Linked DNA regions of Cricetulus griseus. The protein of the gene in region 1 interacts with the protein of each later gene in a biochemical or structural test. Links are inferred from orthologs where the notes say so. Each region holds a gene or a part of one and is shown on either strand. Other genes may lie near its edges.

Region 1 (3,653 bases):
GACCAAATCTAGTTTCCTGTTCAGTTAAATTCTTGCTTCATGTCTTTTGGCCACTTTCCTCTTGGGTTGTTTGTTTGTTTTCTTTATTAATTATTATCCTCCTTGTGAGGCTCATTTTCCTTCTTTATGATGTTATAGCAAATAAAAATTTTCACCTTTCATGTCAACACATAAAATATTTGGTCATAGCCAGGCAGTGGTGGTGCATGCCTTTAGTCCCAGCACTTGGGATATAGAGGTAGGCTGAACTCTGTGAGTTCGAGGCTAGCCTAGTATACAAAGCAAGTTCCAGGACATCCAGGGCTGTGACCCAGAATGCCCCCCACCAAAAAAAAAAAAACCAATCCTCAATTATTTGTTGTTCTGTGTTTTTTTACTTGACATCTTTTTCCTGATTAAAAAATACTCTATATTTTCAAATTACCTTTTAAACTGGAATCAGCTTTTTGGTATGAGGGAGAAGGAGAGCTTATTTCTTTCCACATGAATGACCTTTAACCCAACCCAACTTCCTGGTTGGTCTTCCATGTCCCCCTATCTATCCTGCCACATCTTGACTTAGGAGACTGTGGTACATTTGGTTAACTAATGCAGTGTCCTCTCTTCACTTGTGATCTCCTGGTTTGTCTGAGACACCTTCATCATACATGTTTCCAGAACTGAGAGCATTAGAAGACATTAGCAGGGCTTTTGTGCTTTATCCACTCTTTCTTCCTTGGTTTACTGCTGCTCACAGAGCCCAAGATGCTGGCATGGTGGGCTGGTAGGCAGCAAAGTAAGTGTATACACTTAACATGTTTTCTATTTCTGTGGCTACAGATTCTCCAGCTGTGTATTGGGAACCATGACCTATTTATGAGGAGAAGGAAGGCTGACTCTTTAGAAGTTCAGCAGATGAAAGCCCAGGCCAGGGAGGAGAAGGCAAGAAAGCAGGTAAGACTTCAGGTTCTGTTCCTTTCATGTGGTTTGTGTATATATGTATTTGTGCTCTTGATTTTGGAGGCCACAGATCAACCTTTATTATCATTCTTTAAGAACATCTATCTACTTTGGCCGGGCGTTGGTGGAAAATGGAAAGAGAACGGACTCCAGAGTTGTCCTCTGATATCCACACTTGTACCATAGGACATGTACCACACATTTCATGCATTCACTCAAACACACAATAATGAATAATAATAACCAAAGATCTTGTGTTGTTTTGGTTTGGCTTTTTTGTTTGTTTTATTTTTTGGTTTTTTTCGAGACAGGGTTTCTCTGTGTAACAGCTCTAGCTGTCCCAGAACTTGCTCCATAAACGAGGCTGGCCTCAAACTCACAGAAAACTTCCTGCCTCTGCCTCCCAAGTGCTGGAATTAAAGGCGTGTTCCACCACACTTGGCCTAAAGACCTTGTTTTAATTGGTATTGCTTTTGGTCAGTCTTGGCCTATGAGATAAGGGATGGCTGCTGTCAGCCTGGTAATAGATGTATCTGCTCTTATTTCCTTCCTGTTTTATCTTTTTTTTAGCTAATGCCCAGATAATGGGGTGTCAGCTATGGAAATAAGCACATGGCTGGTGAGATGGCTCAGTGGGTAAGGGTAATTGCCACCAAACCTGACAACCTTAGTTAGATAGCCAGGAGTCACATGATAGAAGGAGAAAACTCACTTCTACAAGTTGTCTTCTGACTGCTATATGTACACTTACAGACACAAATAAACATAATAAAAATTTTAAAGGAAATTAATACTAAATTCTAATAGCATATTTAAAAACAAAAGATCTTTATCATTTCTATACTTATCACAGACTTGGGACAAGGTAGCCAGGCATGGTTTTGTCTTTCTGTCCTTTTTTATGTCTGTCTCCTCTACCAGGTCAGTGCCCTCCTAATTAGATGGTGATAGAATACAAGGTGGCATTCAGGGCATGTTGTAGAATGTTGATTAGGTTCCTGCTGCATTTCCTCACTGCAGGTCAACCTAGGCATACATGACTGGCCCTCTGCAGGAGGTGCTAGCAGCATCTATCAGTAGACTGGACTAGCTGCATCGATGTTTTCTGCTCACAGACTCCTCTGCTCACTGAAATCCACAGCTAATTTGAGCCTTGCTGCTGAGAATATCAATTGTGGTTTGGGATGATGTGTTTGATAGAGTAGCTACAGCTACAGTTGGCTCCCCTCAGGACTTGTAAGCTCAGAGGTGTAATAATTAGTCTGTGTGGTGTTCTCTGATTTGGGAAGCCCAGAGAGGCTGGCTCCCAGCACCAGGCTTTAGAGAGAAATGCGCAGTTTGAGCCATTGCTCTATGAGCTTGCCCTCTGTTTGCTTTCTGGGACATGGGCCATCAGTGTTTTTTTTTTAATGCGTTAGGGATGATGGTATAGGTTCTTTTGGACAACAACAAAATGCTACTAAGCTAGCATGGGGGTGTAGTGATGACTTTAAGAAGCACACTCTTTGACCTCACTTTCAGCAGAGGAAAGTTTAGAAGTTAGAGATCTAAAGGCAGCAAGGCGAGTGAAGGCCCCTGGACCCTAGAAGGGAATAGTGCAAATGCATCCAGTGGAACATGGTGATCTTACAGCTAAATCTTTTGTCTGTGTGACTCAGTTTTCTCATCTGTCAAGTGGAACTGGTGATGCCTCTTTTCAGAGGACAGATTGCACCTGGAAATCTTCGTAAGTCATAACCTGCTTTGAAAACAGGAAGTCAGTATTATTTAGGGTAAAAGTCTCATGAAAAGTACAAGGCTGGGAACTGGGGACAGCCAGGTCTTTTTTTTTTTTTTTTTTTTTTTTTCAAAAAGAGAATAATAGAAATTATATTTTAGTGGGAATTGAAGAACAGATTGCCGACTGTTCACTGAGGTCAAGAGGAAACTCAAAGAACTTAAAGCTTATCTATTTTGCATGATTCTTTCAATTACAGGGTGCTTAGGGAGCTCATACTTAGAAAGGGTGGCCTTGTAGTACTAGAGTTTGGGTGAGATTGAAGCCAGAAAGAGTAATTAAACATGATTTTGTTATCTAAGGCAGAAAATAGTACCTTGGTCACTTCTGGCTCCTGCTTTCTGAACTCAGTGCCCTGGAGTCACGGAGAACTGTGCTGTCTTTAGTCTTGGTCCCTTATTAAGCTTGGCAGGTGGCCCAATTAACACTGTGATCCAGAAGGCTGGGGGTGGCAGTAGAGGCTTTGTACTGTTTCTGTAAGGGTGGGGTTTGTGTTCCTGCCTGGCTCTGAGTTGCCTCCACATGGGGCTGTACAAGACTATGCAAAGCCACTGCAGCTTCCTGCAGTGAAATTCTGAGTGCGCTATTGTGGATGAAATTGTGTGAAGGGGCCATAGGGACTAACAGTGTCAAGGTGGCTCATCTGAACAGATGAGAGAGCTGTTTTTTTCTGGGCCACTGCTTTGGGGAAGGGGGAACTATGTGGAGAACTGCCAGTCATAGAACAGAGCCATGTGAAGTCATGGAGACTGAATTTGGGTTTTGTAATTTGTATTCCCTATTGGAATTTGTTTCAAGGAGTACAGCTTTTAATTCTGCAGTTAGTTTAGGACAGGGGGCAGCAGACAACGAGAATGACCCAGGCTACCTAAAGTGAAGACACTAGAAGGATCCCCAGAGGAGAGTGAGCCTTCAGAAACTGTCCGTTCTTGGGTGT
Region 2 (3,653 bases), about 23 Mb from region 1:
CACATACACAGCAGTGGCAGAAAGCATTAGTTTATCGGGCCTGTGCCTCTTGACAAGCTCTTGTTTCACCGAGTAGAGCCAAGTCACGAAACCTCAAACCTAGGTCTGTACCTATGTTATTAAGTACTGTTCAAATAATGAAACAAATGAAATGTACAGGAACACAGACAGGGTAGCTGAGGAAAGGTTCCCCACAGGTACCCTGAGACGTAAAGACATTGTTTTGCAGGGGCACATCTAGGTATATTCTCCTTGACTGGCTGGGTGTGGTAGCACACACCTATAATCCCCAAACTTGAGGTAGATGCAGGAGGATCAGGAGCTCAAGGTCACCTTCAGCTAAATAGTGAATTCCATGCCAGCCTGGGCTACATAAGATCCTAACTTCAAAAGCGGGTCGGGGTGGGGGTAGGGGGTGACAGATGGCTCAGCAGGTAAAGGCATGGGTCATATAAGCGTGATGATCTGAGTTTTAATGTCGAAACGCACACACAATGGTAGAAGGAGGGGACCAACTCTAGAGTTGTCATCTTACCCACACATGTACAGCTAAGGTATGCATGCCTCCACAACACACACCAATATTTCTTTTAAAGTTAACACTCTTTCTGTGCCAAAAGGGTGAAAAACAGGCTATCACTTTAGATAATGGTGGGGGTTTTCCATTATAATAAAACCAGTGACCCTTCTTCCTTCCTTCCCTTCCCTTCCCTTCCCTTCCCTTCCTTTTTTTGAGACAAAGTCTCTCTTCTCTATCTTTATGTAGCCCTGGCTATCCTGAAACTCACCATGTCAGCTGGCCTCAAGCTCACAGAGGTTTACCCGCCTCTGCCTCCCGAGTACTGGGACTAAATGTGTGTGCCATCACACCTGCTGACTATCTAATACTTAGATGTGTATTTTTACTATGTTGTATATAAAACACTTAACATATTAGCAGTGTCATACATTGAGACACAAACCCGACATTTTCTGGAGATAAAATTATGTGACCAAAGTCTACAGACAATAGTCCTGGATGAGCCTTTGGATGTCTGTAAGAAGTAGCTGGAAAAATGCCAGGTAAGGACCTTCCAGGGACAATGAGATGGGGACACCCAATGCTGTGAATTGGGAGAAGGTAGACTATGACCATTAATTGTACAAATGGATTTTAAGTGGTGGCAAGAACATGAAATTTCTGAAAAAATATACACAGAAGAATCAATGGGATTTGGTTTACACATCTGAAGGCACTGGGTGTAATGATTTCACTAGACCCATGATAAATGATAAATGGGTGTTTATTGGGGACACTTACACAGAAAGATATAAAGAACCATGGAAGCACTTCTCTCCCCTTCCCTCCAGATCAGCTGACCCAAGAGAAAAGATCTGTGCAAGAGAGACCACACTTTAGCTTCCCTCTTTCTGCTTTAGTCTGCCTGAAGCCACACCCAAAGGGGTGTGGCCACCATTTCAGGTTGACAGGCAAGACACTGACTGCTACACACATCTATGGTACTTTGAGAAATAGTCTCTAATACCAAACTACTTTTAAGGTATGTATTTCAGACTATCATGAGCAAGTTTGTAGGAAATGACTTGAAAATCAATTTTCCTATCATCCAAACATCCAAATCATCATTTCTTGTGTCTGTTTTTTTTTTTTTTTTTCTTATAGATTCTCAAAATAAAAGGTGGGAGAAGCTAACACAGGGAAAATTCACACAGCAATTAAGTACTCAAGACTGTTCCTGATTGACTGCTCCCTTCCCACTGCTGTACCCCTATATGGAATGGAAACAGTGGCAGGTCAAGGCAGCACAAGAGAACACAGCCAAACAGACGAGGAGCCTGTGCCAGGGCCGCCTTCTCCTTTGTACTGATTCGATAGGGGAGTGCTTGCAGGAGGGACACACATCTTTTTATGGCTCGAAATTGCTTTCTCAGTGAGATGGTAAGGTAGGTGCAATCCAGCAGGCTTAAGGGAGTTGGTTTTTGTTCTATGGGTATTAAGACTCACCATTCTCGTGAGGCAAAGCGATTTAAATAAAAACAGGAAACCACTTTCACCATCTCTTGAGCCTCCTATAGTTCTAAAGAAAATAGTTTTACAAATGCAGAGGAAAGATCTGTTTCCTGATAGTCTCTAGGTATCTCAAAAGTGCTCCTTAGCATTTGTTATATGACTGGGACAGTGTCAGATCTTACCCTAGGGCTTATGTCTTACAAGAATTGTTTCAATCCTCAAAGCATCAGGAAACTAAAGTGTAGAGGAGTAGGTTAACTCCCAGCCACAGAAAGTGGCAGAACCAAGAATCTAAATGGAGGTCAGAAGATAATGGCAGTCACGAGGATCCCTCCACAGAACAAGTCAAAGTACTGGCGCATAGTGAAGCTGATGATACTCAACTGAAACCACCAGGGCCAAGTGTGGGCCTTTATTGGTGGGGATGTGGGTTAATTATTTACTGGAACATAGCCTCTGCCCATTCATTTACCCACTGGGTTGCTTATCCTAAAACAGCAGCACAGCATCTGTATCCAATAGAGATAGCATAGCCACAAAGTCAAAACTATATACCATCTGGTCTCCTACTGACCCTGCAGTAACCCGTTTTTTTTTTTTTTTTTTTCTTAATAAGTCCTGACCAGCTCAGGATTAGAAAGTCAAACAAAACCAGCTTCTTCTCTAGAAAGCATTTTCAACTGCAAGATCTCAGACTAATCAGGAAGCTACCGAGATTAGAAGGCGATGAGAGTGATCACATTGGAGTCTCACTGCTACACTGTTCACTTTGTCAACACCTTTGAAGCACAGTTTCAGTGCTAAGCCACTTACTGCAGTGCTGGAGCTAAAAGATCAGGTGTGTTAAAACGTTAGGGTCTAGTCTCTACTAGGAAGAAGATCCAAAGAGAAAAGAAGAGATCTTGGGGATAGGGATGAGGAGAAAGTAATGAAATATATACCACAAGAAAGCAGAAGTGGGGCCATCTGAGGAAAGGAAGGGAAGTAGGGTCAGGGAACAAGGAGTGGGGCAGTGGGGAAAGGGGAATAATGGAAACAAATATAAAACACCCATTTATCAATATGACTTCAGATTTATCAATTTGTCTGCTAACCTAAAAAATTAATGAAAATAATCAATGCAGAAAAATAAACTAATATTATTCAAATAAAAAAGTATAGATTTCTTTCTTGGGATGGTTGGTGGGAAAAAAATGAGGTATTATTTTCCAAGTGATCCTGATGGTCATGTTAACTAATAGAAACTTGTATTCAGGCCTATTAACTTGCAAATGCTTACATGTGCCTCTACTAATTTAAACACCAGCATTTTCATCTAACAATATTTGCAAGCATGACAAATTCAAAACTGTACAGACTGCAAAGCTTTCCTGTGTGTGGAGTTTGTGTGTACACACGTGTTTAATCTGGGTAGTCATTTCAGATATGTTCTGAGTAGCCATGGGATACAGAGAGGCTCATGATGCACAAAGATAATCTTACAAGGAGCCTTCCTTGCACTGGGCAGCTCCACCCACCTGAGTGCCCAGAGCCTGGATATCATGCTCAAAGGTGGTGTGCATTCTCTGTAGGGTCTCCACAGTGTTCTGATCTCGTCCAAGCTCCTCAGGGAGTTTCTTGTGTTTGTCCTGGATGCGGCCAA

Evidence for each region.
Region 2: the proteins of Nf2 (region 1) and Sptbn1 form a complex in vitro, tested with the Homo sapiens proteins (2 studies listed by BioGRID and IntAct). The link is inferred for Cricetulus griseus from reciprocal best matches to the Homo sapiens genes NF2 and SPTBN1.

What each region holds. Positions count from the first base shown.
Region 1 is NW_023276807.1:100,111,680-100,115,332, forward strand, and holds part of Nf2 (merlin), read left to right. Parts: intron 1-819; coding exon 820-933; intron 934-3,653. UniProt on the Homo sapiens protein: Probable regulator of the Hippo/SWH (Sav/Wts/Hpo) signaling pathway, a signaling pathway that plays a pivotal role in tumor suppression by restricting proliferation and promoting apoptosis.
Region 2 is NW_023276807.1:77,212,547-77,216,199, reverse strand, and holds part of Sptbn1 (spectrin beta chain, non-erythrocytic 1), read right to left. Parts: coding exon 3,529-3,653; intron 1-3,528. UniProt on the Homo sapiens protein: Fodrin, which seems to be involved in secretion, interacts with calmodulin in a calcium-dependent manner and is thus candidate for the calcium-dependent movement of the cytoskeleton at the membrane.